4 linked regions of the Drosophila melanogaster genome follow. The protein of the gene in region 1 interacts with the protein of each later gene in a pairwise test. Each region holds a gene or a part of one and is shown in the gene's direction. Other genes may lie near its edges.

The links.
Region 2: the proteins of CG32036 (region 1) and CG31626 interact in a two-hybrid assay, tested with the Drosophila melanogaster proteins (one large-scale study listed by BioGRID).
Region 3: the proteins of CG32036 (region 1) and CG18180 interact in a two-hybrid assay, tested with the Drosophila melanogaster proteins (one large-scale study listed by BioGRID).
Region 4: the proteins of CG32036 (region 1) and BomS6 interact in a two-hybrid assay, tested with the Drosophila melanogaster proteins (one large-scale study listed by BioGRID).

The regions. Positions count from the first base shown.
Region 1 is NT_037436.4:9,487,550-9,495,536, reverse strand, and holds CG32036 (uncharacterized protein), read left to right. Parts: upstream 1-6,303; 5' UTR 6,304-6,402; coding exon 6,403-6,477; intron 6,478-6,892; coding exon 6,893-7,230; intron 7,231-7,290; coding exon 7,291-7,399; 3' UTR 7,400-7,487; downstream 7,488-7,987. Other genes in the region: CG32037 (uncharacterized protein), read left to right, coding at 3,738-3,839, 3,911-4,063, 4,722-4,971, 5,030-5,214, 5,306-5,374; pall (pallbearer), read left to right, coding at 7,833-7,916, 7,985-7,987.
Region 2 is NT_033779.5:21,229,415-21,240,462, reverse strand, and holds CG31626 (uncharacterized protein), read left to right. Parts: upstream 1-3,729; 5' UTR 3,730-3,819; intron 3,820-6,427; exon of another isoform or gene 6,428-6,560; 5' UTR 6,561-6,825; coding exon 6,826-6,828; exon of another isoform or gene 6,829-6,963; coding exon 6,964-7,818; 3' UTR 7,819-7,968; downstream 7,969-11,048. Other genes in the region: CG8677 (uncharacterized protein), read right to left, coding at 9,355-9,854, 10,269-10,372, 10,426-11,048.
Region 3 is NT_037436.4:9,637,486-9,644,865, forward strand, and holds CG18180 (uncharacterized protein), read left to right. Parts: upstream 1-3,527; 5' UTR 3,528-3,546; coding exon 3,547-4,341; 3' UTR 4,342-4,428; downstream 4,429-7,380. Other genes in the region: fry (furry), read right to left, coding at 1-348, 4,522-4,857, 4,923-5,028, 5,101-5,272, 5,338-5,472, 5,543-5,641, 5,723-5,856, 5,943-6,062; CG8329 (uncharacterized protein), read left to right, coding at 642-1,421; CG18179 (uncharacterized protein), read left to right, coding at 1,804-2,610; CNMaR (CNMamide receptor), read left to right, coding at 7,351-7,380.
Region 4 is NT_033778.4:18,388,314-18,395,042, reverse strand, and holds BomS6 (bomanin short 6), read left to right. Parts: upstream 1-4,413; 5' UTR 4,414-4,449; coding exon 4,450-4,501; intron 4,502-4,580; coding exon 4,581-4,651; 3' UTR 4,652-4,690; downstream 4,691-6,729. Other genes in the region: Idgf5 (imaginal disc growth factor 5), read right to left, coding at 1-522, 589-1,149, 1,206-1,335; BomS5 (bomanin short 5), read right to left, coding at 4,866-4,936, 5,003-5,054; BomT2 (bomanin tailed 2), read right to left, coding at 5,647-5,813, 5,880-5,943; BomS3 (bomanin short 3), read right to left, coding at 6,668-6,729.

The DNA.
Region 1 (7,987 bases):
ATTTCTACAATATATGTATGTAGCACACTACCGAGCACCATTATGCCGTTTTAGCACGTTTTAGTACACTCGCGATTATATAATGTAGAGAGTAAGCTAGTTGATAGCCGTTCAGAAACACTTTTAGAACAGTTCTGAACGATTCAAGCGGCATTCAAACTGGAACTTTACTAAGTGCACTTTAATAGTTTCCTATTGATTTCCTATTAATACCATTTAGTATGGATCTGTAAGAGGCTTAGTTACGTACCATCCTCCAAAAATCCCCACCCTTTCCTCTCTGTTCTAAAATAGTATTACTCCTAAAGCAAAAAAAAAAAACCAAAACTAATGTTATCATGCCTTTCCCACTTTTACTTTGTTCCGTGGCAAATTCGCGTGATTTGCGTACATTATTTAACATTTTAGCATGTTTAGTAAGTAAGCGTAAGAATTAGGATTGTAAAGCCTATTTTGCAATCGATCAGTTCCAAATATGTTGAGCTAAATTACTCAGAGAATACATTTTTTTATACGAAATCTAGCCGAGTAATAAGTTACATTGAATTGCCCCGATATTCACTATGTGTAAACATACTTATTTTGTTGCATACATATTTTTGTATTTTAATTATAGCTATTAAAGAGAAATACTTAGCGAAACTATCAAGTAAATAAAACAAGAAACACAAGTTGAAACATTTTATTTTGCATTTAAAAGTCTGTGCAGACAACGAAGCAGATTTACTTGTAAAATGATGAAAAGTTCGAGCCGCAGAATTATCTGTCATCTGTATGTAAATATGTATATTGATATATGAACGCAACGAGTACTAAGTATATCTGCCCAGAAAAGTATTTAGAGTTGTCCATATTACATATTCAGAAGAACAAAGATTGATATGAATGTTTACTTTTTTGAAAAATGTTTAAAGTGTAAACCAAGCAAAGATATAAAATATATACACCGAAATAAAAAGATATAAGAGAATGTCAACTGAATAAATGCATTAATATTTTACTGATTTCGAAATGGGTAAAATCAATTAAGTAACTTATTGTTTAATTTTCAATTTCTTACTGACATGACCCTGAACTTCCTTTGCCATTTCTGGCCTGCGGGTTCAACGCGTGGCACTTGCTCAGATCATTTCGGAATAACCATTCGCTGAATGGCCAAAAACCTGATCGAGCAACTTCAATTACCAAGTGTGCATAGTCATTTGTTAATTGGTAACAAGTGCACAGTGGACAAGGCGTCGAATCGAATTCGTTTTGTGTTGATGTCATGTTATTTTCACCAAATTGCTCGTTCGATCCCACACACACACACACAAAAATGCCCACAAGTTCAAACATTATGGGCAATTGAACTCGACTTTTGGCCAATTAGGTAACCTCCAAGGCAAAGATGTGGACCACAAACCAGGCACGATCGCTTCGGTTCGAAGATCGAGTAGATGTCAGATCGTGGTCGTGGTATTGGCCTGTCATCTTTCTGTGACAAGATGCGAATTGGAAAGGCCTGGGAATGACTGGTTCAGAAGAGGCAACTTTTATCCTTGACATCGAATTTCGAACATTTGTGTGGCGAGCGAGCCCCTCCAGGAAGCTCCCAACTTGGCCAATTAGCGACCGCAACAATTTGGTTTTGGGCCAAACAATTGAAAAGCAGCTTCGAACGATTAGACAAATATTTTCTATGAACATGCCCGAGGTCCAAGGTTGGTGATGATTTAAAATAATCAATCTCTGCTAGGGTCTACCCAATAGCTGGATCTATCTTTTGTTGCATCTTGATTGAGTCAAGGTCTGAATTTTACAATCTACTAAACTGCAGAAGCTGACTCGTTTTTTCGCTTTTGCTGCCATGTCTATTGTAGTTTTGTAATGTAAAACATTTTTTCGGCGGCAATTGTGCAATTGGAATTACTATGGGCTTTTTGGTCTTTGTGTTTGGCATTTCAATCGATCTACAATTCGTAGACGTTCTTATCTTGTATCTTGTATCTTTGGAAGTACTTTCTCCCCGTTTTGCATTAAACATTTATGTTGGCTCTACTTTTACACGCATGTGCCATATGAAATGGCATATGCGATTGGAATTTAAAAAAAAAAATAACGAAATGCGGAAGCGTGGGAATATTGTAAATTATTAAAAAAGAAATGGAAATCGTTACTGCCTTCAAAACAACTGAGATTAAAACACATATCTGAAAACAATGATTTTGAATCATTATTTTTTTTCTTGCCTTCGCTCTATTAAATTTTATGTTGAAAATTTGATTAATGGATTTCCAAAAATGTTAATTTGAATATAACATGAACATATTGAATTTTGTATTTTTTGAAGAGCTGTTGAGTTTTAAATGTTAAGATATACAAATATATTGAAACAATTACTTCTTAGGCACGTGCCCTAGAAAATAAGTAGTACTAATTATAAAACAAATTATCCTCTGAGAAAGGCCTTTCAAGCATTCACCAAAAACCAATCCACTTTCACAATACCTTCAAGGCCTTTCGATCGCCAATAAAGCGCCTTATTTACAAAAACCGAACTCTTCTGACACGAAAAGAAAACATCAAAACCCTCTCGAGACAAATAGGCAATACAACAGCAAGTGGCTGCCAACAACAAATGAATAGAAAAAAAATTACACAAATATTTAAAATAATAACGAAAACAATCAATAAATATGAAACGTTCAGCAAAGTGTTGACTTGAGGGCGCAATCAGTTGTTTAACTGCAAATGGCCAAAAACAAAAGGCAATCCGAACCAATCCAATTCAGCCATTCACTTTCGTGGCAAGAAAAAGGTTGTAGTGCTACCATAAAAAATTGCCATGTCCAAGAAACCGGCGTAATTACGTATAACATAGATGTACGAACGGGCACCAAGGGATCTCAGCGAGACTTTCAAGTCAAGTAGCCGGGGACCCATCAACCCACTATGAATTCGGATTCGGTTTTGGATTTGGATTTGGGTTTTTATATGGTAAGGGAAGGGGGGCGGGGGTTCATAGAGATTAATTGAGGCAATTTGGCTATAACGATTTTGCTGCCACTTCCAGTTAAAACCGCAAATAAAACTAACTATGGCAAGAAGTTGGTATTATATTAAGTAGTAGTGCCAAAGTAAAAGCAATGGAAAATCATTCACAGTTTCAGAGTCTACAAATAAATACGTCTGCTCACTATGCTTTTCACGATGATAATGATAGTAGCTATGACGATCATGATCATCATGATGATGGTGGGGATGACGATGATGAACGCGTCGGCAGAAGTCGTCGGCAGAGGGCACCCGCTGGTGGAGATCGGTCTTATGCATTTGCATTCATTATGTTTGGCACCGTCGACGCGACCACAACGTAACTCCAAGATCGGAACCAAGTAATCGCGGCGTCTATAGATATATATATATATATAGACATCGATATAGTACAACCGTATAACCAGCTAACAACCATTACCAGATTGCTTTGGCAACCCAATCGTGTCACGTGATCGTGTCGCGATCGCTCATTCTGCTCGTCATTCATCTGTCGCCGCGTCTTGTGCAATTTGGCTGTCGAATGTGGAAGAATGTCTTGCATCTGGATTTGTGTACCGAGCTCTTAACGTTTGTCTGCCGAAATCTGTGATCTTAGTGTCTTTCAATCGATCCATCGAACAACTTGACCTTTTGAGTTCGCCGATCAGGAAATTGCTAAAAAATAAAAAAAAGATTCCTTAAATACAAAACAGTTGAAAATGTCTACGCCATATGTGATCTTGCTGATCGGTTTACTATATCTTTGCGTGGGCCCATTCATAATTGCCCAAGGCTCGGAGTTTGCTGAGCGCAACCACAAGGTGTGTAGGCCATGGCATCGCCACTAAACGTATACGATCATAAATAATACTGTCGAAAAACCAATTTCAAGAAACGCCAAATCTATCGGGAACAAGTATTGCCACATGCGGGTGGTAAGATACCCGACACCGCCTTTGAGACGGATCGATTGTTTTTGAATCGCCTGCAGAAGGAGGGCATCGCAGTGCCAGATGGGATAGTTCCCGAGCAGCGGAATCCGCAGGTAAGGATCAGCGGGATGCCCAGCTGGATTATAGCCCTTTTCTTGGGTTCTTTGGGCAAGGGATTAGGCCAAAGATCGGCAAATGTGGCAGTTCAAGTAAATTTGTGTTTTCGCAAAATATCCTTCAGCAGGTCCTTTTTAGAAGGGATCAGCAACCTATCAAATTAAGCGAAAATTCTTTAGCTTGTACACAAAGATTATGTTGCTCAGTGTAGTCAGGATTCCAAAATATGTTTACGGAAATAGCTTGTTTTTTTTCAAATAGATGCCAAAACCTCAATTCGGTTGTGAGGGAAATAAAAAGTTAGCAAATTAAGCACAGATCAATTAATCATTTAGTAATGCTTTTTATATATTTAATCCGTGCGTTCATTTTTCAAGTTTAAACAAATTGTTATAACAGCATAATCCGAATTTAGCATGCATTTATGTTTTAGTTGTTTTCATAGATGTTCAAAAATGTTGTGCTCTTAAAAGTAAGTAAAGTAAAAAAAACTGAATTCGAACAAGTCAAACATGCTTAGATGCCATAAAAATTAAGGTACTGAAAGTATCAACCAGCTATAGCAACTTGTATCCTAAAGTTGCCCAACCACGGACATTTACATAAAGCTTGGAGAGCCAAATAGACACTCAAAAACCGTATGTTCCCATCCAGGTGTATCAGTACTACAGCAAGCCCATGCGCACCGTCTTCCACATCGCCCTGAGCTCGGATGGGAGGTATACGCCGCGGGAGGGACGATACCACTACCGCCAGGTGCCAACGGTGGAGACCACGTACCTGTACCCGCAGGCGGTGGGCCGCCAGCACGTGGTGGTGCCACCGAAGCACGCCCTGCCCATCTACCGGCAGCTTCAGTTGCACAATCCGCTGCTCAACCAGGTCAAGTTGCAGCCAAAGAAGGGTGAGTTGTCGGAATGATTGAGGAGTGCAAGCAATGGCTGAGCTTTCGTCCAATTTAGCGCCCAATTTTCTGGAACTGGCGCCCACGGTTGGCAAGAGTCAGTCGCATCCATTGGCCGGTTCGGCCAAGGCGCAGTCTTATCAGAATGTGAATCTTCTGCATGGTCACAGTCCGGTGCTGCCCGCTTTCAAGAAAACCTCCAGGGGCAGCAAGACCTATGTGGACAGCTATGGCACAACCCATGTGAGTCGAGAGCAATCTAATCCCAGAGCGCTTTTATGTAATCATTTTTGGGTCTTATTATTACGTTTTTTTTCTCTTTTTTTTTGCTTAGCTCTTCAGCGAGTTTGACGATCTGCTGAACAAACTGGACCTGCAGCAAACGGGACGAAAGAATTATTAGTTTTAATACCCAACATGTAGTAGAATTTATGAATATGACAGCTATGAGATCTATCTCCAGTTAAGAGTTAAGTTTACAAGTGGTTCGCATCCATTATCTAACCATGTGCATATCATTTCAAAACCTTTGCCATACGCCCGCTCACCGTTTAGTGCACATCCATTCCCATTCCCATGTTTGCAAGCCATTCGTATCCAGCCCATGCACCGTGAAAAAATGTGGTCACAATTGAGGTAAAACTAATGTTAAAACCAATACACAACACATTTTCAAAACATTGAAAATATACTTCTTATTTGGTTATTAAAGCGTGAAGTGATATGCAACCGTTTTGTTTTCTATTGAATAAAATAAAATATTAAATTAAACCTTTTAGATAACTGAAGCTGTTTAGCTTTCTAAATCTTTTCAAGTTTTTTGTTGTATACTCTAATTGAATTTGAAAACTATATCAACAGGTATTTAGATTTCTTTTGCGTGCAGGCAGTTGCATCCACCACCCATCGCTTGCCAACCCACAACCCATCCACATATTGTACCATCTAAGCTTGGCCAGGTGAAATGGGAATTCATCGCTTTTAGCTAGTTAAGCGTAAACAATTTGTATCTTGCAAAATAAAACCATGCGCGTGTCCGTACATTGTTGTATGTTGCATTTCCCACATGAATGGTATACTTCACTATTTATATCATAATTATGTGGGGAGCAGGGGAGCATTAAGCTTCAAGCCGTTCGTTTACTGTGGCAATAATTGAAGCAGAGCTAAGTTAATTTGCCGATTTTGGGGAATGGAAAAGCTTGGGCGGGCAGCTTCCAATGCGAAAATCGTAATCGTTACACAAATCGGATCGGTACCCTTGAAAGCTCCATGCTCAAGTGGCTGCCGCTGGGAAAACTGCAGTTCAGTGTGATTTTCAAACCCAACTCGATCGGTCGTCTCTGCAGCTCCAAAGACTCCAAGCTACCACCAACTAGCGACAAAGTAGGCGGAAAAGATACATACATAGATACTTTTGTAACCGACATAATGATGCCAAAGCTGGGCTGTTTCTCATTTTGGCTAATGTTCGTTGTCGGAGCCGCGGTGGCCATCGAAGTTCAGGTGAGGATTGGGTATCGGAAAACGAGTGTATAATTATGCTAGGGAGTCGATTGGGAGGAGTGTGTGCCACCCCAATTGACAAAGCTCTGGGTGTCTTAGCCACGTTCACTTTTGACCCAAAAATTGTAGCATGCAATGTACTCAATGTGTACACTGATAAAAAATTTATGATTTATGATGTGAAAATATACTATTTAACAAATATTTTATTTACTTTTGAGCATAAGAAGAGTTTGATGTCTGAAAGTAAATATGATTACAGTCTCTTGAATATTTCTATCAAAGTATATCTATCCACGAGTATTGTTATAATGAGGCTGTGTCACGCGGGGATTTGGGGGTACTAAGACCAAACCGGATTGGGGCACGAGCAGTGGCATGTCTTATGCAATAGAAACATTTGATATGGTTACAGAAATTCGGATATCTATTCAATCCACCGCAACCGGAACACCCGCAGCATCACGAGAAGAAGCAAGACTTGAACAAGATACCTGGAGTTCCGGGCGTTGATTATCCGATTTACCACGAGGTGCCACACACCCACTTCAGTTGCCACAATGTGCCGGCCACTCCGGGAATGTACGCCAACGTGGAGACGGGCTGCCAGGCGTACCACGTGTGCCACGATGGACGCGAAGGTGACCAGGGCGCCAAGTTCCTATGCACCAACGGCACCATCTTCAACCAGAAGGAATTCGCCTGCGATTGGTGGTACAATGTCAAGTGTGAGGAGGCTACCCACTTTTACCAGTAAGTTGTATGGTTAATTTGTATATATTATTTTGTTTAAACTATTGGTATTTCTTACAGCTTGAATGCCGATCCCGAGCACAATCCCTACATTCCCAAAAAGAAACCTGAGCTGGAACCTTATGCAAATGATATTCATGATGCTAGCAAATTTCTGATACAAGCTTAAATCCATTTCCGTTCTCATTGTGTTGTTGTTGTTCCCAATCTTGTAAATAAAAAACATAACATTATAACAAAGAGTGGGTAGCCCCTTTTTCAATTGCATATTTGATATTTTATATGCATATTTGATATAAACTTAAATCGTACATACGTAGCTAGATTTTTCTTTTCTTTTACGCACTTTTATTTTTTGGAATTCACCTATAAAAAACTCACCAACGCTAATTTGACGCACATGTAAAATAACTGTAAGATATTTATTTATTTGGTATGTTTATTTTGGTATGTTTTCATGGTTTAGTCTGTGGTATTTTGTGGCTAAACAAGGCGTTTTCAGCATTTCCATGAGCTGACATCACAGTCTTATTAAAAACAATAGCAATATTCTCGACTATAATCGCTCCGCTCGAAACTAGTAATAAGTATAAACGAGAAATATGAATCTGTTAGACTTGCCACAAACACTAATTCAGGACATTTTGGAGTTGCTCCCCTACGACGAGGTGGCAAAAAAACGAGAGGTGAGCTAATAAATGACGTCCCAGGAGTCCCTGATCCATGACTAAAACTAAACGTTTCCAATCCCCAGGTG
Region 2 (11,048 bases), on another chromosome or scaffold:
AGCTTTTTTTCCCCGGAGTTCTTGGCGAGGTTACAACAAGGTAAACCTGCTGCCATGTTGTATCTTTCAGTTGTATTTTTTACCATAGACAATGGAACAAAGCAAACCCGTTCTCGCTACTTTCGCAGTTTGCCTGCTAGAATAGGAGAAGAATTGTGGTGAGGAGGTCAATGCTGCAATTGTTAACTGCTAATTAGCAGCCAGAGTCAAAGCCAGGGAGAGAAACAGCATGTATCAACTTATGTATTGCAAGAGTGGGTGGTGCACTGCCGAGGGAGAGGCACGGATGGCCGAAGTGGGTATCAAGGCGGTTGGAACACCCGAAGGCATATTCGAAAACCGGTTAACAGCTGGCAGCCAACTGACGAACGAGAAATACATCACCGAATGGGCAAATCTCAAAGACTTTACAAGTTACAGATATTAAGGCGTATGGGTCGGGTTAATATAAATATCTGCATGCACAAAAAGAGTTACCAGAAGCAAAATTTTTTTTTGCAGAATTGGAGACCAGGCTTACCACTCAAGCCCGATAATTTATTGCCTTCTTCCACTCATTGCGTTTGTAAGCATGGGCAAATCCCTACATCAGTTGCCAGTTCTTGTAACCGCGTCTCGACGGCAGAATCGACCGCCTTTAGCCAGAGTTATGACCCCGAAAGCTGTAAATTAACCTTTGAGGCCGCGCACATTTAAAAGGAGTTCAAGAACATAAACCAGCGTCCGCAATGTATAATCCGGAGCCAATCAACTTCCAAACTCGCGGTCAACCTTCGGACAGACTGAATCCCAGCTTACGAAATGAGAAGAGTTGAACGGTAAGAAGGCACGGTAAGAACGGCTGATAGACACAAAAACCGCAAGCGACGCAGTCAAAATAATAATGAGCCCGACATTTAAAATGGTTTATGAGACAGCCCCTTCTGCGGCTCCTCGAAAGCACAAGACTTGGCCCAGCCGCAGCCTCATCAGCAGCGTTGTCAGCCGCAGAATTGGCGATTCTTCGATTTTTCTGGGTCAAGCACCACGCGAAAGCAGAAAGAGCTAAAGACTTGGCCCAAGAAATGTGTGGTAGAGGTAGAGTTCAAAACGTGCCTTGGCCGTACTATTCAGACATGCAGTGCCTTCCCACCCTCTTATTCTCCCTGATCGAGACCGTCTCTGTTTCGTTGTCGAAACAATTTCCGGCGGCTGCACCGAGAAAAATATAACGTGTAACGATGATCGAACAATAAAGACAAGCGAATCTATACAGAGTCAATTCGGAAAGCTTTAAGTTTTCTAGAACCGAACATAACACATGTTTAATTAAAGCCTTTATGGCGTCCTTTTTGCGCTTTCAGAGCTCGGTAGAGTTGAATGTCAATGTAATGAGCCAGCCAAGTTCGGGTCATAAAGCCTCTGCCACATGAAAGTAGTTCAAGTACTCAACGGCGCCGTTACATTTCACTGCTTATGAATTGGGAGTCGCCCGGCCAGACAGTCCGCCAGACGACACTGACTTCCCGATGTGTTAATAATTTTGTTTTGATTTCAGGGATTCGAAAAGCCTACTTTGACTCTGTGGAAGGGGATAAGAAAATATAGCGCTTGAATTGGGCCTCTTGGATCTTTAAATTTAAAGGACAAAGGAATATTAAATCACTTAAAAAATGGTAATTTTTACAGCCCCTATATTGTTGTCCTTAAATACAAATGAAATGAAAGCATATGGTTTATACGATTCGCCCAGTTTTCACGATGTTCCTTTTGAAATCACATCAAGTTATGGGATGGACATCATGGACATCAATTATGGGAACATTTTGTTTTTAAGGAAATGAGATCATCTTACCATTTTAAAATACCTAAAAAATTATGGGAACATTTTGTTTTTAAGGAAAGGAGATTATCTTACCATTTAAAAATAACTAAAAGTATTCCAATTGTCCCTTTCTCAGTCTATCAAGATTTTAATGTATTTCCGTTGCTGTGTTGATAAGATTTGTTACCCAAAAGCCAGTTGGGATTTCACGTTTTACTCGTTTTGTTCGACTCACATTCTAGTCACATTTTCATAGAGAATTCGTTTAATTTGCGTGCACATTATGCGTATAACATTTCTTGTGCAATATGTACCCGACTGGAAGCCACTTGATGCCAATCGAGGAAATTATTGCACGACAAATATCGGATTTTTCACCTGTGAATTAATAACGGTAAATTACTCATCCAGCGTCGCGGCGGGCGCACTTGTATGGGTTAACGAGCGAGCAAGCAAGTCAACGAATTCACAATAAAATAAACAAAATGCAGACGCGAAAAATCGACGAAACTTGTTGGAGCTGAAAACGCGGAAACTGTTGCAAGCGAATCGAAACCAGAAAAACTTTTCTGCACACTCTGTCCAATCAGAACAAACACTCGAACTCTTCTCTCCCACACACACTACACCAGCACTCACACGCACAAGTTCTGCTCTTGCACTTGCCTCTTTCTACTGCTTTCTTTGAGTCTTGGGTTTTATTTTACACGACTGCGGCGCTCTTGTTGCGTTTTCCTCACCTTTCGCAGAGTTTATTGACATTTTCAGCGTTCGCTTTGTGCGCTGCTTTCTTCGTGCGCAATCTCTTTTTTCTCTCGCCAGTCTGTTCGCTCTTTCTCTCTTTCCCTTTCTTCTCTCCGCTCACAACACTTGCTTTTTTGTTTACAATGGAACGCTCGCACACACACACTGGTAAACGGGTCACTCACACGCACACAGAATAACCTTCAATTTTATCTTATTGCGCGCGCCCCAGTCACTCGTTATTCTTAAACTTTGCCGAAATTAGGATTTGCTTTGGTTCGCTGCTGCAGCTTTAAATATCAATCAATGTCTTTGCAATGCTGGTGTGGTTAGAAATCCACATTCACCTCGACGCCTCTTCCACACACCCATACACGCAGCCACGGACGACCTTTGCGGTGCGAGCGAGACGACCCGCCACAAAAAACTCCACTTCCGCTCTCTCGTTCACCCGTTGTGCTGACGGCGAAAAGGTTTTCGAATTAAGTACATACATATATTCTTATTCACTTATTCACGGATTTAACTACATATGCCACTGTAGGCGCTACCACTCTTTTTCGCTCACAGCATGAACGGTGTTTTGCGCTCGAATCCGATTCCACAACCGCTCTAGCGATCACACGACGCAACACAGTCCCGCCTGCGACGAAGTAGCAAAATGTTTGTTTTGTTAGTGGAGCTCTCGGTCTGTTAGCGAGCGTTGCCACCTTTCTGCGAGCTGTTGCTGCACACTGCCACTTTACGAACACAGATCTGATAGCGGGACAAAATACGTCAAGGCAGCGACGGTGGGTTACTAGTGAATTTGGAACGGTGGTCTTACGACGTAATGGTCTTTTATATTTTCATTATTTTTTAAATTGTCGCTCATTTACCAATAAACCTTTTTACTTTTTCCTGATAGTCCGAAGTCAGATCAAATAGGAAGTTTCACAAAAAATTTTCATCCAGAGAAAATACGCCGACGCTATTCGAGTTTTTTGTATTCGTTAACCGGGAAAGAATAGTTCGAATTCGTTCGCACTTTATCGATAGTAGATTGCTATTATGGAGCCCACTTGTAAAATAATTTAATTCCAGACTGATAAAAGCGATCAACTTTTGTTAGTGGTTTAAGTCTATGATAATACTTAGTTCAAATTGTTTCAAAGTAGTCGATAATTTATAATAACAGTTTTAGATGACCTCTAGGAAATAACTAATTACCCACATTCTTCAAGAAGTGTTTTCAATTTGTTCTATAATTAAATAACAGTTGTATTAATTATGTAAATATTGTTACTCATAATACAAATTAAACAATATAAACACACATAAATAAGAGAATTGGAATATTTTGTCTCAGATTAGATTTTCCACACGGGAAATTTAAATCACCACGTTTGGTAATATCGTATCGTTTTATCCTAAACGAAACACGCTTATTAATACATAAGCTAATTGTTTTTATACCCGTTACTCGTAGAGTAATAGGGTTTACTAGATTCGTTGAAAAGTATGTAATAGGCAGAAGGAAGCGTTTCCGGCCATATTAAGTATATATTCTTGATCAGGATAAATAGCGGAGTCGAACTGGTCATGTCCGTCTGTCCATATGAACGTCGAGATATCAGGAACTATAAAAGCTAGAAAGGTTGAGCATCGACTCGGCTTAATAAGAATATATTTTATATCTGTTAGACATTTTATCGGATGAATTGTAACAGGTATAATAAACGATTTCTTATATATCGTCAGACATGTGTGTATATTTTGAACGAAACAACTTAAATTAGTTTGTAATGTTATTTTATAAATTCCATCCTAATAAATATTACTGGATTTGCAATGAGTTCCTTAGAACATATTAGTACTCGTGTTTCACTAACCATGTCCATCAAGCTGACACTGCTATGAATGGGTATGTGTGATGGGTATCTGGTGGACAAGCTCTGATCTAAATGGTGTTGTCCATCCCAATAGCACTGACTTGTCTGTAGTCTAAACTGTGAAACACTCCTTTATTACTGAATTCTAGATAAATGTACATACATATGTATACTACGGAGTGGTTGCGAAATCAGAGGCAATCAGATATTGAAGCAAGTTCAAGTGACATACAATGGAATTGGTCGTGTATAGCCGCCTATAAAGACATTAATAGACGACCCCAAAGCTCTCATTTAAGCTTAGCTTTAGTTTTCGGTAGATACAACTTATTAGTGTCAGAGATATTGAGCTTTGGTCGGCCACTGCATTTACATTATTTATTGCGTAATATTTAAATTGATAAATTGCGCATATATGCTAATGCTAAGTCTTCAATCCATATGTTATATTGTATTTTCACGCATTTTTAGATGAAGAAAACATTCTTGACTCGGATCGACTACGATCCACATTGGCATATGTTTGCCGTGCATAATATGGGTATTCTCCATTTAAATGTCTTTGGATGTGGTTAGCTAATTGGTTAATTAAGTGAGACCGCGGGCAGAAAATATCGACGAAAATACATTTTTGTGCAAGACAAGCCAAGCCACGTTTCTCATTTCGAATCGTGGTTGCTGTGTGAATTTTTTAAAATTGGAATTATTAAAACGGATTACGCCTGTTTTATTTACCATTTGCGGCTCCTTCTTTTTCTGTAACAAAAAAATATGACACTGGTGGTTTAAAGTAGGCTAAGCAAATTCGCGATGCCTCATGAATAGGTTTCGCTTAAGTGACAGATGCTTTCAAATGCAGCATTTTTGCATTGGAAATTAAACCATATGCGAGTCTGCGATTAGTAATATATCAATAAGCAGAGCGCCGGGTGAGGGTCGATCGCAAGCGAAAAATGTTTCAAAATGTTTAAATATTTTTGGAACGTTGTCTTTGTGTACGTATTTCTAAAAGTTAGTTACGTTTAAGTATATGGGTACTTTTCTGAGCCCAGTTATCAATCAAAATGTAGGAATCATATTTTCGTAACTATAGGGGACAATAGCTATTAAACGCTTTAGAGGCTGTTTACAAAACAGTGAGGTGTCACAGTCCCGAAAAATGTTGTCTCACGATTGGGCAAAAATGCCCTTATAATGCCCAATCAGATTCAGCTTCAGCTTGGGTGGTTTCCACTCGACCCATAAGTGGGGTAAGTCCCATTTAATATTCAAAATAATAACCCCACATATGTGTGTATATACGTATATAGGTGTGTGTCCGTATTTACAAGTTTTCTGAGGCTAACGCCAAGCTGGTAATCCTTGAGCGCTTGGTCGAGCATGTAGTTTGGTCATTAGCACCGGCTAATAGTTAAACAAACTGATTTCCGCTAACTGCACCGGCGAACGCATATCAGTTGACCTTTGACATTAGCCGGCAGAGGCCCTTTAATCGCTTCGTGGCCAGCTGCCTCGCATGCAAATGAGTGTTGGCGTGTCCCGTGGCCGCTCGTCGGCGGAGTCTCGCGGCCAAGCTGCCCTATTGACATTGCCAAACCCGTCCAAATCCCCCGATATCAACGAGCGGCTGCCGGCGAACTGTCACGGTCTTAACCCCGCGCTGGGCACTAAAAAATTGCATCGAAGACTGCCCGGGCAGTTGGTCTGCTCGGGTTGGGTTTCTTGTGATAATACATTTTACTGTATTAGCATGAACAGTTTTCCAATATATCGAAAACTCCCCTTGTTTTTCTATGCATCTGGGTGTGGTTTCTTTGTTAGAGCTGTCAGTTAATTATAAAAAGTGTGCTCCCATATGAATGCTTGGTCCAAATAATTTAAAAAAAAATAACAGATCTCAACTTTTGCTTTAAGAAACTAAAATACCCTAAGCAAATAACCTTTAAGTAGAATTTAATGTAGTTTAATTAATTAACGACTTAATCATGTATTAAACAAGGCGAATATTATAGTTTTTTTTTTTTTAATTCTCCCTAAACCATATTCAAAACTTGAAAATTAACGTTTCTTAATGTTAATACGTAAGATCAAAGGGAAAAATAAAATAAATATATCTTTGTTTCGTTTTGATCGCCCAACAGCCGCCTCTGGGTTAATGATCACTGCTCCGCTCTCTTCTTAACTGTCTACCTTTTCTTCGACTAGAAGAAGCGCCAGGCCCACACCGAAGACGCGAAGACGGATATCCAGCAATAATAATGGGCCAGACCAAGTTAAGCATGGCTTTTGGTATAAAAGTGCGGGCCCATCTGCAGTTCGACATCATTCAGCTTGAGCGTCTTGCGACAAGAGCTTGCCAAAGCAAATCCAACGAACTTTAAAAGCCCGACCAACAAATCAATAACAATGGTGAGTAAACTGTCCACTGGTCACAACTTCGATCAAGAAAGCCGTTGGCCTTGCTCAACCGCTCGCCTTGGCCAACCGTCAAGATGTCGGGGATCCCGATCGCTCACTTGACCCTTAAATTTCCGCTTATTTTAGAAACTCTTCGTCTTCGCTGTGTGCGCCATCGCCTTGGCCTCCGCCGATGTTTCCCACCTTAACCTGGGCAGTGGTTATAGCTACAACAAGCCCACGCCGACCTTCAACATCCCCTCGGCTCCAGCTCCAGCTTATCTGCCACCCGTTCAGGAGGTGATATCTGCGCCGGCTCCAGCTCCTGTGTACTCTGCTCCTGCGCCTGCTCCTGTTTACTCCGCTCCAGCCCCAGCCCCAGTCTACTCCGCTCCGGCACCAGCACCTGTTTCGGAGTACCTGCCTCCTGTTCAAGACATCCCAGCTCCAGCTCCTGTTTATTCTGCTCCTGCTCCAGCTCCAGTTTACTCTGCTCCTGCCCCAGCTCCAGTTTACTCTGCTCCTGCGCCAGCTCCTGAGTACTTGCCTCCCGTCCAGGACATTCCAGCTCCGGCTCCAGCTCCCGTTTACTCCGCTCCTGCACCTGCTCCTGTTTACTCCGCTCCAGCCCCAGCTCCAGTCTACTCTGCTCCCGCACCAGCACCCGTTTCGGAGTATCTGCCTCCTGTTCAAGACATCCCTGCTCCCGCCCCAGTGTATTCTGCTCCTGCGCCAGCTCCGGTATACTCTGCTCCTGCCCCAGCTCCAGTTTACTCTGCTCCTGCGCCAGCTCCCGAGTATTTACCTCCCGTCCAGGACCTTCCCGCTCCTGCGCCCGCTCCAGTTTACTCTGCTCCTGCTCCAGCTCCAGCTCCAGTTTACTCGGCTCCTGCTCCCGCTCCAGTTTACTCTGCTCCTGCTCCAGCTCCAGTTTACTCTGCCCCAGCTCCCGTGGAGTCGGGCTACCAGTACAATGTGCCTGCCAAGCGTTTCCGCTTCTAAATGGACATCAGGTGGATTCCAAAGAGTTCCGCAGCCATTTGAGTGGTGACAGCTTGTTAAATTAACAAGTGCCGTCGCCCATTGTTGTTGAATATTTGTTGTTACGCAAAGTTCCCGTTGAGATTTTAGCTAATAAAAAAATTACAAAACAAAAAATATAAGCTCGCTGCAAAATTGAAATGGACGAACGGGTCCAGTGTTCCGCGGTTTCGCTGTCCCTTTTAAAAACGAGTATTTAAATTTAGCACCATAAAGCCTTTAGAGACGCGATCTGCCGGCTTACGTAGCGTTTACCGAGCGGTTTCAACAACGGCAGGTTATACAAAGATGACCTGAGGTGTAGGCCATAACTGCGTTGGCAAATTTTCGCAAAGAGATGTCGTTAACGCTAGCCACTCAACGAATAAATTTAGCGAATATGAGAGAAATCTGAAAAATGTGGCACAGTTTCAGTTCTACTTAAATAAATGGCTTGGGAAGAATAGTCGTTTTAAGTGGTAGCCGTTTTAGTATAAAAGTCAATCTTTTTGAGTTAAAACCATTGTATGAAGACTAGAATATCATATTTAATACTTTGTAGTCATAATGATATTTTGAAATTCCAATTTCGCTTGTTCCCTTATGCAAAATTCAAATGTTTCCCCTTATTAAAATTGATATGAGGTCCAAATTGTCCCAAATTTTAACTTCCACACCTTCACCGCTCTCTCTCACCAGGATCACTTAATTCTACAAGGACTTTCACGCAGTCTAGCTTTGCTATTTTACATTTTTTGGGCATATCAAATGGGAAAGCGCCATTGTAACCAATGCTAACCTTTGTTGGGCGCTGTTAAAAATCTATCCTCTTTTAATTAATTTCATTATAAGGCAATAGAAAACATCGAATTTCAAATACTTTCCACTAATAATAAATAGTTTTATTGTGAACATTATGTTTTCGCCCTTTTTTGATTTAGTACCATCTTCTTAACGTTATAATGGATACGCAAGTCAATCTTTTTAAGTATGCACTGCATAACTGGTTTACTTACATAATTTTGTAATTAACTCAATCTATATATTTATTGACTATATATATTTATGATCATAAGTTTATCTTATATTCGTATAATTATAATGGTATGTATAATTAATAACTTACTTTTATTGCGTTAGGGCTCAAATCATATAGAGCTAAATTAAAATACTAAAAGTAGTTGATGCTTGATTTAGCTAAACTGTAACAGCACATAAAGGGAACTAAGTTAAATACAACATAGAAAGCCGATGGGAGTGACGTTACAAAGCAATCAAACATAAAATTTCTATAAAACATTAACTGATCGCCAAAACCGAATTTAAAAGAATCTTTGGAAATCTTTTTAAAGAATTCGGATCAGTTTGGTGTGTGTATGTTTTATTATAGTTTAAACACAAAGCTTATATTGGTAAAGTATTGCCAAGATTGATTTCTAGCCCTAAAGTAAAATTGTTTTTTAACTTTACAAGCAGATCGATATATACAAATTTAAATAATGCTCCCGCCGGCGTTTGTTATGTGTCATAATCATCCTGTTGCGAGCTAAAGTAGCTTACCAACCCACTGAACTCTCCCACGACTGCTGTTCCTGTTGCGGATGACGGAGCTCTCGTGTCATGAGCTGATCCTGAGTCTTCCTCGGCTATAGGTGCCGGTGACCTAGTAGGTTCTGCCGGACCCGATACATCGGCCACTACTGCAATCGGGGACTTCCTGATGGGATACGCCTCTAGAGTAGTTAGCTTTTTGCTGGTTATCACAGAAGCCAGTGGTGGCTTGTGGCTGCTGGTTTCGCTGGTTATTGTGGGTGGCGGGGCTGCAGCGGGTGGTGGACCTGAAGACTGTGTCGGAGTTTGTTGAGGAGGAGTCTTTCCATGCGTCAAAGTGGGAACCGAGTGATTCGTTGGCGTCAGGGTGTGCGGAGCACTTACGATCACAGAACTTGTCGCTGCGTGGGCAGATGGTGTGGACAGCGGCGGGGGCGGGGGATAATAGCCATATGGGGAATATCCACCTGTAAAATATAAAGTTAAATAATCATCAAATACACATACAACATAAACCTATTAAATAATAAAATATAAAACGGTTACTTAAAATCATCTTAAAATGTATTGTTAGTAAAATCATATTTAATATAATTTTCAAATTAAATAGCATCTGATGATTACGTTGGTATTAGCTAGTTTTGTTTATTCAATTAGATTTTTCTTCGTTGATTATTATGAACAATATTTAAGAAACACCATTTTGGAAAATATGTTTATTTGTCTATAAGTAATGGGCATTCGGAAATACATAGATCCTGTTAATTCTTAAGAACTGGAGAAGCACGTGGGGCTGTGCTCTTTAAAAACATTTAATACCATTTTCTTAAGATGCTTTTAAATGAACTTTTTAAAAGAAAAACAAAATTTGATTTGCTTACGTGGTCCAGCAACGTAGTCCACAGCTCCAGGGCGCATACTTCCAGTTCCGGGAGCTCCACCAAGACGAGGGGAATAGTTTGGATTGCCATAAATGGGCGGCGCTCTATAAGAAACACGTGTGCTTAGTGGGAACTGTGGAGTACATAAGTAGCTTACCTGTAGGGATTCAAGTGGGGAGTTGCATGTCGCGCTGGTGGCGGCCCGGAACTAAAGACTCCTCCCATTGGGGGCCCAGAGGGTCCACCGTGATGCTCGGCTCCGTGAAGGTAAGCCGGCCTGGAATTGGTCGTAGTACTGGGCGTAGAAGTTGGTGGGCCAGATCCGCGAAGTGGCGGCGGTGGTCCGTAGGTGGGTCGTAGGGATGCGTGAGGCGGAGGCAATCCAGGTGGCATTTGCGGTCGCAAAAGGTGTCTAGGAGGTCCTGACGTCGAAGAAGGAGAACGAGAGCCTGGGACAGCGGGAATGGGTTGCTGGTTAGCTACTTGGCCATAGAATCGGGCCAAATCCGCACTGCTTGGATATAAACCACTGGGCGGTCCATGATTTCGTCCATGGGCCGGAGGAAGGAGCGACGGCATCCGGGTAATCACAGAGGCTTGGGAAGCAGGAGCGCTAGGGGCAGCATCCTCGTGCGGCTTAAAGAGCGGTTGGGCCTTCACCTTTTCCGAGGGGGCTGATCCCGGTGTAGTTGAAGAAGTGGCAGCCGTAACAGCGGCCGCCGTTTGTTGCTTCTGCAACTGATCCCTAAGGGGTGTAACCTTTTTTCGTCTACCCCTTGG
Region 3 (7,380 bases), 150 kb from region 1:
TAGGCTGCCGCCTGGGGACTTACGTGCAGCAGATAGCTGTCGAATTGCTGATGGAGCTCCGTAAAGTTATTGTCGATCACGGGCAGCGCTGGCACCGTGAGTCCCAGATCCAGTTTACTCGTTTCACTGTTCAAAAGGATGCGGGCCACCGTCAGGTGATCATTGTGCTCCGCCAGCACGATCAGCAGATTGACGCACAGCTGTTTGCAATGCTCCCGCACAATGATGCGCGTGTGGTCCAGTCCCAGGAAGAGGATGTGCAGCATCAGGGGCAAGTGAAGGGTCCAGTCGATGCCCGGAATGCCGTCCACTACAATGTCGGTGAGCAGCATAACGGCCACATTGCATCTGCAAGTGTTATATGTATATAGTATGACAACATTAAATGGAGGAATCAGAAAAACTTCGCAGCGTTAAGTAAATTTAGGCAATATGGGTTTAAAAATAAAAATGTATTTCTTTGTGAAAATGTATTACCATTGACAAAGTATATCTGAGCTAATACCCACACTCATTAAGTGTCGAAAGCACTGATAACCCACGTTGGACTGGAGACTAATTACCCCCAGCCGTAAATAACACATGCAACCATTTCTTCTATAAAAAGCAAAAACCATTGCGATATAGATTTAATTTTAAGCATGTCTAAAAAGCTGGTATTGTTGCTATTGTTTGTTGCCACTGTCTGTGCCCACAGGAATCGCAATCGTACGGCTCATCATGGTGGTGGTCCCAAGGACATCATTGTAAATGGCTATCCAGCCTACGAAGGCAAGGCACCATATGCTGTGGGCCTGCGAATGAACAATGGAGCCGTGGGCGGAGGTTCCGTAATTGGAAACAATTGGGTCCTGACCGCTGCCCATTGCCTGACCACCGATTCCGTGACCATACACTACGGCTCGAATCGTGCCTGGAACGGTCAGCTTCAGCATACGGTGAACAAGAATAACTTCTTTCGCCATCCAGGATATCCCAATAGCGCTGGTCACGACATCGGACTCATTCGCACCCCGTACGTCAGCTTCACCAATCTGATCAACAAAGTTTCGCTGCCCAAGTTCAGCCAAAAAGGTGAGCGTTTCGAGAACTGGTGGTGCGTGGCCTGCGGCTGGGGAGGAATGGCCAATGGAGGATTGGCCGACTGGCTGCAATGCATGGACGTGCAAGTCATTAGCAACGGAGAATGCGCCAGGTCATACGGATCGGTGGCCAGCACTGATATGTGCACCCGGGCCACCGATGGCAAGTCCGTGTGCGGTGGCGACTCTGGCGGAGCACTGGTCACTCACGACAATCCCATTCAAGTGGGCGTTATCACCTTTGCATCCATCGGCTGCAAGTCTGGACCATCGGGCTACACCCGTGTGTCCGATCACTTGGACTGGATCCGAGAGAAGTCGGGAATTGCCTATTACTAACAAGGAGACTCGATCAATGATGAATCTAAATCAAATCATTGTCTATCCAGATATTCTGATATTTTTGTTCCACTTTAAATGAACCTATGTAAATATATATATATCCACATTGAGCAGAAAATGGGGTTTACTTGATACTATATTCAAACTGTAAATTGAATTTACTTTAGTAGTGTCTAAATTAATGATTTATTTATGGTTATCAAGTAGAAAAGTTCTTGAGTTGATTAAAATTAAACTTATATTGCGTTGCGTGTGGCTATGAGTATCCGATGAGATACGGTTAACACAAAGACAATGAACAAATCCGTAATCGATAAGGCTACCAGGTCGTATATAAAAACGCGTTGTTCTGGGCTGAATACTAAGTTTCCTCCGAGCCATGAAGCTGTTCCTACTTACACTCTCCGTGGCCCTAGCCGTGGTCGCCGCCTCCCCAGGCTTCAACCGCACCAGCCTTCTGCCCCAGGTGACCATTTCCGAGGGTGCCGAGGGCCGCATCGTCAACGGTTACCCAGCGCCCGAGGGAAAGGCTCCCTACATTGTGGGACTGTTGATCCGCACCGATGGAAGCAACAGTGCCGCGGTTGGAGCTGGAACCATCATCGCCAGCGACTGGATTCTGACCGCCGCTCACTGTCTGACCACCGACTACGTGGAGATCCACTATGGATCCAACTGGGGCTGGAACGGAGCTTTCAGGCAATCTGTCCGCCGTGACAACTTTATCAGCCATCCAAACTGGCCCGCTGAGGGCGGTCGTGACATCGGTCTGATCCGCACTCCCTCCGTGGGCTTCACCGACTTGATCAACAAGGTCGCCCTGCCAAGCTTCAGCGAGGAGAGCGACCGCTTCGTGGACACATGGTGCGTTGCCTGCGGATGGGGCGGCATGGACAATGGCAACCTGGCCGACTGGCTGCAGTGCATGGACGTCCAGATCATCAGCAACAGCGAGTGCGAGCAGTCCTACGGCACCGTGGCCAGCACTGACATGTGCACGCGCCGCACCGATGGCAAATCCTCTTGCGGAGGCGACTCTGGTGGTCCACTCGTTACCCATGACAACGCTCGGCTAGTGGGAGTGATTACCTTTGGCTCGGTGGACTGCCACAGCGGTCCTTCCGGCTACACCCGCGTCACCGACTACTTGGGATGGATCCGTGACAACACCGGCATCTCCTACTAAACTCTTAATAAATCCTTTGTATTTTTTTAATAAAATCTTTATATGAAATATAACTGTATTCATTAAAATGTGGTGATGAATGTGCCACGTATACGGTTAACCAAATTCCGTACAAGATTGCACAAACGATATGCACATACAACATACCCCTTAGGCGCGCCTCACGAAAAAGGTGTCCCCAACAAGGTGCCCCAAACCAGGTGCTTCTAACAAATAAATCCCTACACGGTTCCGCGCTGTAAAGGAGTATTTAAATATGTTTATTTTTAGCATCCCTATATTTGTTGTCAACAAAAGGCTTCTTTCACACGCCATAAAGTACGCCCTTATAATGAAGTACTTTTCTAATAAAATAAATTAAGTAAAATATAAGTAGTTGGCAATAAGACGTGTGATTATTGCATTCAAGTAAGATAACCATATGAAGTCAAAGATAACAGAGCTAGCAAAACCCCCATTTTGTGAAATCTGACGAATTTACTATCAAAATAAGGGAAATATACGACTTATTTTGTTATTTTTTGGCTGGCATCTTGGCTAGCGAAAGTCTACTATATTAGTTACGTGTCACGACAATTGAGTTCTTTCGCGGCCTAATTTATAGATCAGCTCATGCTCTTATCTACTCTTACCTGCTTCACAAGGGGTACAATAGATTTACGAGGCACTTCGGCTCCCAGTATATTTTGCATTTCCTACTTGTACCGATAGCTACGATGTGAAGTGGTCCAATCCCGCCTGAGATGCTAATTCCATAACAAATGATTAGAAACGGACACTACGAACTCAAGTGCACGGCATGAATGAATCCTCTAAGTATGGGTGAGATACGATTTCATTGTTGATTGATAATAGGAAGCCTTATCAATAAATATTGTCTCAAAAATCGTATAAAAGCAGGTTGCCTCGACTAGAAGAATAAGTTTCTTCACAGCCATGAAACTGTTCCTGCTAACTCTCTCCGCGGCTTTGGCCCTGGTGGCCGCCTCCCCGACCGGTCTGAACCGCACCACCCTCCTGTCCCAGGGAGCCGAGGGTCGCATTGTCAACGGCTACCCAGCGCCCGAGGGCAAGGCTCCCTACATTGTGGGCCTGTTCATCCGTACCGATGGAAGCAACAGTGGTGCCGTTGGTGCTGGTACCATCATTGCCAACGACTGGATCCTGACTGCCGCCCATTGCTTGACCGGAGACTACGTGGAGATCCACTACGGATCCAACTGGGGCTGGAACGGTGCCTACAGGCAGACCGTCCGTCGCGACAACTTCATTAGCCACCCCGACTGGCCTTCCCAGGGCGGCCGAGACATTGGTCTGATCCGCACTCCCCATGTCGACTTCAACGGACTGATCAACAAGATCCCTCTGCCAAGCATGAACGAGCAGAACGACCGCTACCAGGACACCTGGTGCGTCGCTTGCGGATGGGGTGGTATGGACAACGGAAACCTGGCCGACTGGCTGCAGTGCGTCGATGTCCAGATCATCAGCAACAGCGAGTGCGAGCAGGCCTACGGCTCGGTTGCCAGTACCGACATGTGCACCCGTCACGCCGACGGAAAGTCCGTGTGCGGAGGTGACTCCGGTGGCCCCCTGGTTACACACGACAATGCTCGTCTCGTCGGTGTGATCACCTTTGCCTCCGTCAGCTGCCACGACGGACCCTCTGGCTACACCCGCGTCTCGGACTACCTAGAATGGATCCGCGACCAGACTGGCATCTCCTACTAATTGACTTAGGAACAGTAATGACAATGTTGAGGATTCTTCAGCAAAGTCTTTGCTTTTCTAAATAAATTCATTCGAAAACTGCAAACCAAATTTCTTGACTATCTATTGAAAAGTATTAACTTGCGTACTGAATATTAAGGAAATGTATTTAAATGTACAAAAAATATCGAAACAACTCACCTGTGGAACCCACTGATCGGTAAACTAACATCGGGTAGAAACTCAGTGAGTGGAGCAAAGTATCCTCCATATTCTGGCATTGGCAGTGGATGTGGATGGCCGTTTGGCGCAGCATCCGACGTTCCGCGCAGCTCTACATTTTCCTCTTGCCGCAACTCCGGATCGTTAATCAGTATATCCTCTGGTCGAGGAAGTATGGAAGGTCCCGATGCGGCGCGAATCTTATCGGCGCCTCGAGGTGGACGATTTCCACTTGAGCCGGGAGTAACTGCAGCGGCGGCAGCAGCTGCGGCTGCTTGTGTGTAGGCTCTAATGCCGCTGTCCGATTTGCAGGTTCTGCGGGAATTGAATATTGAATATATTAATACCATATAAAATTTTAATCAATCAAATGGACTTACCCTATTTTCATGGGATCCTCTCCGCTGTGCCGCTTGGTGTGAATTGTGCCCTTTTCAACAGCCAGGTCCTGAATCCTGGAGTCATTAATGCCACCTGCAGCTTGGCCTGTCACAAAATGATCAATTTAAATTCAACACTTAAGTATTAGATTGCCGAGAGGCCAATTTTAAGACCTACCATCAGCACTGTGACTGGATGCCTTTCGCATGCTGGTCAATCGGTAGAAAGGTGGCGTCTCCGTGCGCTCAATCAGACAGTTGAGCGTCTCCACCGTCTGCAGCTCGGCCATGAGCTCATCCAACAACCGATCCGGACAACTCCGCACCAGATAAAGTGCCACTCGCTTGGCCTGATTAAAGAAATTTTCGAAAACATCAAAGATACTCCTGGTTACCGTTGAAGTACGGCACTTACATAGGGCAGCAGTTCAGTGGGTGCCATGCCACTCATGATTACCAAGTAGCGCAGGATAACCTTCAGATTGTTCGGCCAGAACTGGCAAAGTGTGCCCCACAGCTCCTCGATGTCGCGTGGATGGGCGTCGGAGAACTGCAGTGGAAACAATTAAAGATTAAAGTCCATCCGCTGTGACGTGAAGATAAGCAGTATATCGTCATACCTTGGCTGTGATGTAGAAGAGATTGTTCAGAATCATTTCCGTTGCCTCCGTTGAACCGGTGCCCTCGCGTCGTCCTCGCGTCCCTGAATCCGGAAAATACTGCCAAAGGATAGAAGGGAGCAAAGGTTTGAATGCGTCTCCGGTTTTCAAAGAGGATGAGCCATTTCATGCTTCGCTTACCATAATGTAGGAAAGGGGCGTGGCGGGCGGCACACTTGTGGCCACCAGCTCCATGTTTTGCAGCCAGGGAAGGAGACACTGTAGCAGCAGGGCACGCACATCCTCTCGAGCACTTTGGAATCGATGGGTGATTTCTGTAATATATATCCCAATATAAAATAAATATTGATAAATTTAGATTTTTTCTTCTGTTTCAAGTTAACAGAGATGAAATACTCACCAGAAAATATGGACATGGTAAGTTCCGGTCGTAGCTGCGCCAGTTGTTTCGACAGGAAGCGCTGGGATCGACAGTAAGCGCTGCTCAGCAAGACGTCCAAGGTGCCCACCTTGTCATCCTCTGAAAATGGGAAAGAAAACGACGAGTTAATTCAGTAGTAGATCTCGTAAAATTTTACGACATTTTAAAGCCCAACCAGGAAGCAATGCCCCAGGCTGCGTGGCCATTTCAGGGCTCCTCACTGGAGGACGGCCAAAAGGCAACTAAGTATAACCTCCGGTAATGCTGTTGGCCATTTTCCAATGCCACTGAAAAGAGCTTTTCCGGCAACTGGAAAAGCCGCGACGGCGGCGGCTTGTTATTGTTTTCATTACCGCCCAGTGACAATGTGACCACAAGAATTGCGCGAGAATTGGCTGTTTAGCGGCCCATTGTCTACCACCTAGTGGCGCCGTTCTCCTCCTGCGAATCCTGCTGGGCTAATCCTTCGACGGCACCAACTACCACTTGTTGCCACTGCTGCTGCTGCTGCTGTTCCTGCCAACCCTGACCTTGTCACCTGTTGATTTTATGAATGAATCCGCGCCGGCGCAGTGGTCGAGCTAAAAAGCTTTCACTTGGCGCCTTCCAAGAGTCAATCGAAAGCAGTTTAAAAGGCTGCCACGTCCATTGTCTCGGCTTAGTTGCGCGCTCATTGTCCTGCTGGTTGGACGAACCGGCAAGGAATCAACAGCCCAATTGGCCGCCAAACTCAACAGAGCGTTTGAAAGACAGCGAATCCCGAATATAAACACACGCATTCGATTCCGAGAATTATCAATTAATTGAAAAAATATCGAAGAATGTCTATGGCTTGCGCAAAAAAAAATTCAATTCAAAAATAAAACTAGACTGCAAATAAATTGTGCTTTGTGAAAACAAGAACCCTCAGAAGTTTTTTGAGGAAAACAAGAACTTTTTGTGTGTGGCAAAAGTTTTTTTTTTATGATTTTACCTGGCGTTTCTTCTTTGTTTACATCATTACGAACTGTGTGGAAAAAATGTTTGGCCGATAATGAACTTATAACACATAGGCGAACAGCAATCGGAAGTTTCAACAAGTTTGCCGAAAGAAAAGTTTGGCACAAAGTTTGAAAGTTAAAAATTTCTTAATTAAGATTAAGTTAAGCGGAAACAGAAATTCGTGTGAAAGTGCCAAGTGAATTAGTTTGATTGGCCAATCAATTGCAATGGACAAACATATGTCCGAGGAAATGCAAATAGTTTTTGCCTTTGACCTTCTTCAATTAAAAGCAAAATAAATAGAGCAGTGCAGTAATGAGCGTGTCCAAGTGGAATACAAACTGTTCCGGAAATATCTCAAAATAAAAGCAACTAACCAACAAAGGACTATTGCATTGCATTAAGCATGGATATGGAGTATATAACTAGCAGTAGT
Region 4 (6,729 bases), on another chromosome or scaffold:
CGGCCTTAATGGCCGCCGTCAAGGGATCCTCGTAGCCCACCCATAGGCCATTCTCCCCTTGATCATCCGCTGCCCGGTACGCATAGATGCCAAAACGCTTGGTGGGATCGCCCACTTTGCGCAGATGGGGAACCTCGCGATCCTGTGGTTGCTGCTGCAGCAAATCACAAATCTCCGGCCAGCTAAGCAATCCTGGCGTAACAGTTTGCCTTCCCGGCGGTGCAGCTCCATTTGCCGCCGGAATTGGTGGATAGCCGGTGATGCCGGAGTTTCGGGTCATATTCCAAGCTCGACCATAACTGGTCACTCCCACGTGCAGTTTGTGGACACTGATTTCGGATGTCTGGTTCATCCAATACTGCACCTGGTACTGCACATTGTGACTGGGATCCCGATCGTACATGGCATACAATGGCGTGGGCAGATCTGCAACTTTGGGATCGCGTTCCGGCGTTTGGAAGTCATAGGTGCCCAGGTTGACGAAGTCCACGTTACTTAGAACCTTTGGAACATCAATAAAGACTAGGGATAGTAAAAGTAATGGTTAATATTGGCGAGATTCTCAATGGTTTCAATGATTATACTCACGTTCCGCTGAAACATGTGGCAACATACTGACGGTTAGCAGTTGGCCACCGCGTCGCAAATCGGATTGCAGCTCTTCGAGAAGTGTGGCAAACTGCTCACGATGCTCCTCGGACTTCTCGTCCACCGATGAGGAACTAAACCAGCCACGTAACGATCCCCATACCCTCTTAAACACGCCCTGCTGCAGTTTGGGCCTATTTTTGGGAAACTGCCAGGCGAGATCGATGCCATCGAAGCCGTTGTTGTTCAGTTCCGCCAAAACGCTTGCCTGAAAGCTTTTCCGATGCTCCGACTGTTCCAGTAATCTTAGATACTTGTCACTATCTGCCACGCCCTCGCTGTTCACATCCCGATCGCCGCCCACCGAAAGCAGGAAGCGAACATGCGGATATTTTTTGCGCAGAGCGGTAATGTGTCGATAATGCTGACGATCATTGGTCAACGAAGGATCCAAACTCTTGATCTTATAGGTTACGGCATCAATGCCCGCATAGCCGTAGACCAGAAAGTTGCAAAACTGTAGAGCGGGCTCCAGTTCAGCCAGCGACATTTGGGCGGGGCCTGAGATGAAGATAACCCCTGATCCACTTGGTTGATTAAAATCTGACAAAACTCACCTTCACGCACAAAACTCTGCGCATCGTAGAAGCACACCAGTTTTCCAACCTCTGCATATGTACTCTGGAAAAATGCCAAAAAACTGCAGAGCAATAACCCTAAAAATGGGTTCTTTTGAATCCACATCATGCACGGTAGTAACGCTTAGCTTCAAGTTAGATTCACAACTAATCTGGGACGACGCTTTGTTTTGATGAACATCAAACGAAAGAAGCGCTGATAAGACGGTGCTTTTATTGGTAAAAATTATAGATTATTATATGAAAAATTTAATGTAAATGAACCTAATTTCATTGCATACTTTTGAGTTGTGCAACCTAATTAAATATTTCTAGCTAAAAAGAATTCAATAAATTTCAAAGATACATAGAACATAACCCTTTTAAACCACAGATATGCATCTGTACAATTATTTGGAATGAAAGATTTCGAATTTCATTTGGACAGAGCTACTTAACCACCCTCCATTATCCATCCACACATTTGCCACAAACTGGCAAACAAACATCCACCAAACACCCACTCACTCACACATTAGTATCTCTCAAAGTAAAAAGTGGGTGGTCGGAATGAGTGGTTTGGGTTATCAAAGTGTCACTTCCACAACTTCAATGCCAATCCGAAGACCCTGCACTCAGCACCAATTTATCGATTCCCACAGGACAATAATGTTTGTTCATGCTCGTAACGCTTAAGCACATTAAAGCCCTCGACTTCAACGACGGAATGATGAGTTGTCGTCACTCCCCAGGAGCGGGCCACAATAACTGGGGGTCACCACCACCACGACCACCACTCATACATGGATGGCCATGTCCATGTCCATGTCCAAGTCCATGTCCTTCATCCCCCAGTTGATTAGCAATTTTGCTCACGTGACGGCAGGGGCTAAATGTGTTGACTGCCATGTCATTTGATGGAAATGGAAGGGTCAACTGTCAGGGGATGGGATCAGTGGTAAGTTGCTGCTTTTGCTTTGAAAATTTTTTTTTTTTTGGGAAAACCAGGTTCAATTGCTTGTTTGTCAGTCCCTTGGATAATTTACTTTGTGACAACGAGATATGGCTTCATTCGTTTTGAACATAACAAAATATCACTTAAGTATCATAAAGGGTTATTTGAAATCAAATTAAAATCGAGAAATTGTATCGAATTTGTAGTTAAGTAAACAACAGCACTGTGTTTTCTAATTAAACTATTGGTTGTGGCTTTCACCTGGGCAAACATGGAGCGCACTGACTGAGGGTAAGCGAAATGAATTTCAAGTTTATGCAAAAGGCCACAGTTGGTTGCATCATAAAGCCAAATGGTGAGAGCCATAAAACTAACCGCAGCACAAAAAAAAAGGACAATAAACGAAGCCAACGGTGGGGAAAAGCCAACAGGAATCAACAGAATGTAACCACAAGCACGGACGCTCAGGCAATCAACTAACAAAATGTACACATGTTCGGAAGCACTGCTTTCTACTTTCTAGTTGTTACTTTCTAACGCCCAGCCCAGCCCATTGGAAGTGCCACGCCCAATGAAATATGTTAGTTTTTTTATTATTATTATAAAGAAGTGCAGGCGTACTTGCTTATAAAGGAAGCTGCTAATGGGCTTGGAACCCATACAACTTATACCTCTTGGTCTGTATTAACCATGTCCTAAGTAGATCACTGTATCATTTAAATATAAAAGCACAGAAGATGTTTATGTATGTAAATAGTAAGTAAATAAAGAGACCATTTAATGTTTTATTTATTTTAAATTATGTTATTTCCTATCCAAGCCTGTCTTACTTTCTATGCTAGCAAAGTACGACCTCCCTTCCATGCTTCCCTTTCCTTCCATTGAATATTCCAACGGCTTTTCAATTTCTGTTCCATTTGAATTTATGGAGCATGAACATGAGCACTTGAGACCTGCGACTTGCCGCACTTAAACACCACTCCAAGGCCTTTGGCTGAAACATTTGGCCGGCTTTAAACGTGCCACAAAGGCAAAACTGGGCGCTGGCTTTAATTCCTGAATGAACCAACTCGACTCGATGATTAACATTTTTTTTTTCTTTTTTCGAGGAACATGTGGCAGCTGCCGCTGCCCGCAGCGCGTAATTAAATTGTTAACGTGCGCACGTGTCGGTTGGCCGTCTGTAGAGGCGCACATTTTCACATATTACGTATACGTACATGTGTACGCTCATTTGGCTCGAGTTCATTTATCCGTAATGCCATCTACGTTGACAAATGTGTGTGGAACAACAACAACGACAACAACAACAGCGTTTAGCGCATGCGGCACTAATCCTGGGTGAGTGGATGCTGGTTGACTGCGCTAAACCCTTTCTCCGCCCCATTTGCACTCACCTTTCTTCTGCTGCAAAACCACCCACCATCCCCCCCCCCACACACACACCCATCGAAAACCCCGACAATCGCCTTAAGCCCCACGAAACAGCCAAAAAACTCATTTTGCATGGAACTCGACTGGTGGTTTTTAATGCTTCATTGGCTTAATTGCCAGCCATGTGCAAAAACAAGTACATTGTGAAAAAAAACAATGTTTATTGCAATGAAAAGCAATAAATATTTTCTTTGAAAAAAAAACAGAAAACGGTCTAATTATTTATTAACTAACTAGTAAGCAGTGTAAGTTAGAATATGATATATAAAAAAGAAATAATGGTATATACCTTTGATAAAAACACAATAACAATTTTTCGTTTTTGAAATTTAAGGTTTTTCTTTTAGTGCACAAACAAAGTTACTTATAAACTGAATCAAACATACCCACCTACAGCAACTTTTTCAAAGTTAATTCGACCACAAACACGTTCATTTACCTTTGGCGACCACATAGATACACACATAGAAAACGAAAATTTAAGAAGTTAAATTCTTGCTAGTAAACTGCAGTGTCATTCGTTACGTTTTCAGTTGTTTCATTCTTTGTTTTTATATGCATTAAATAAGATATTTCAAAAGTGCTAGAATCGAATAAGTTAGATTTGAAATTTCCCTGGAATTAATAACTGCTTTGTGTGTTTGCCAATCACAGACAAAGATCTCTTTAAAGCTACTAAATCGCTGGGGATAGGCTGTTCAAATCAAGTTATGACGCATTTTTATATACTCCAGGGGTCATATTTTAATTGAAAAAGTGCGCAATTTGCTAATCAAACCGATTTGCGCGGCTATAAAAGAGACCTGTTTGAATCGATAGGCAATTTAGTCGCTGAATCGTCAAATCACAAACAATATGAAGCTGCTCTCGATTACTTTTCTCTTCGGACTTTTGGCTTTGGCTAGTGGTAAGTGCCAATGATGTGCTGTATAAATAATAAAAACCTATTTCTAATTGAAATCTTTTTTTTATTTATTTATTTCTAGCCAATCCCCTGAGTCCTGGCAATGTGATTATAAACGGCGACTGCAAAGTTTGCAATATACGCGGCGATTAGAATGTGGAAATCAGAATATGAAATAAACTAAAGTCACTGAAACACCAAAATGTTGTTTATTATTATAATTATTAACTTTTGCAGTTAGAAATGAAGTTCGAACTATTATAGTTTGCGTACTAATAAAATAAAAAAGACCATCACTTTATGCACAATCTGTATTTTTCATAAGTTTTATTGTAGTTACTAAACATCAAAGTTTTATAACTCCAATTTAGCCTCCGCGAACATTACAATGACGGCAATCTCCATTGATAATGACATTACCCGGATTTAACGGAGAAGCTATAGTAATAGTAGAAAAATAATTAGGATACTGGTTAAGGATGTATGAATCTTATAGATACTCACCCACTGCCATGGCGAGCAGACCGCATAGAAAGACCAAGGACATCCACTTCATATTGTTGGCAACGGTTGAAATGAAACTGATAAAAATTCACTTCATTGGTTTTCTTTTATAGGCACCTTTATGATGAAATTTAAATATCAGGTTTTTCCCGGATAGTACGTATCTCAGCTGTTGTAATCACACAAAAGTTGTGCCCAGTCTGGAAATGCCCTACAAAAAAAAATGTTGATAAGGCGATGTACATTCAGAACAATGGCAAAACAAAATAAAGCGATAGCGATCAATCAATCGAATATAAATAATAATAGATTATTGTAGATTTGTCTCAAATAGGAAATCTAATTCCAAAATCAATATGAATAAATATAAAAATTAAAGCTAAATTATTTAAAGCTTCCTAGCGGTTTAAACAAAGCTGGGAATTAAATTAAATTTACAGATTTTAATCTAATATGCAATTGCTATAATCTAAATGCAATTTAAATACCCATAAAGTTGGGATTTGTTAAATAGCAGTTTTAATATGTGACTAAATCTATACGTGATAAGGGTTGTATTTAAGTTCGCAATTTGTCACAAGCTTAAGGTTTTTTTTTGAGAAATAAAAGATATTATTTTATTAACTTATTGATTACATAGTAATTTAACTGAATATATGATATATAATTCCAAAGAAGATGGCTCCAGATGTGAGTGTGTAAGACATGGATCCAGCTGATTTATGGTCTGGAGGAATTATAATTCCCGGATCATTATCAGGCTTATTGCAGTCAATGCATTTCCCATTGATATACACTTGTCCCGGCGTAGCTGCAATAAGGAAATGATTAGCTAAAAATATCATATATATATTTTATTATTTCATTAAATAATTACCATTAACAGCTGCCAGCAGGCAGAAAAGCAGCATCAAAGTTCCGGCGACTTGAAGAGCTTTCATGTTTTTCCTTGGGGATTTCGAATAAATCTGACTGCCAAAGTGCGAGTGCTCTGCTTTTTATATGCCATAGTACATATAGTATTTGCTATATTATATATATAATTGTTTATAATTATTTTGCGGGATTTTACATAGTTATTTTAAAGAAATGTCTGGAAAGGAGTGCCTATTAATTAGTTGTTTAATTATTGTTATTTATTAAACAAAAAATCGGTAAGCTGTATCGATTTTATTGCTAAACCATACAGTAGCAAGGCTGATCTATTTGGATAATAATGTAATTAATCAAATCATAATATGATAATATAAAATTTGTATTAGTCTTTAAAACATTTATTTGAATTAAATACGGTATTCTCCATCGCCTAAGATCATTTTCAATAATTTGTTTCTCATTCCAGATCTCTAAACTAACAAATAACAAATATTAAGCTGACTTTAAGCGTCTTTTAATGACAAGTGATTGTTTCATAGTTTGTTTTCCTAGAACTTTGTAATACATTTTGCAATTGGAATACATTTAAGTGGTTTGCCTGAACCTCAACTGCCTTTCAGTTGTTATCTATAGAAATCAATAATATTTCCCCATTACAAATAATATGTTGTTTTGTTTGGAATATATTTAATATGGGCACTTGATTCTAGGAATTTCTATTACATTTTCGACTTAAAAATATGTGTGGCTGTGTGAACTTCAACTGGCATCCTTCATTCTCCGCTGCCCTTAGGCCCTCACATTGCAGACGCGGCAATCGCCATTGATGATGACATTGCCAGGATTCAGGG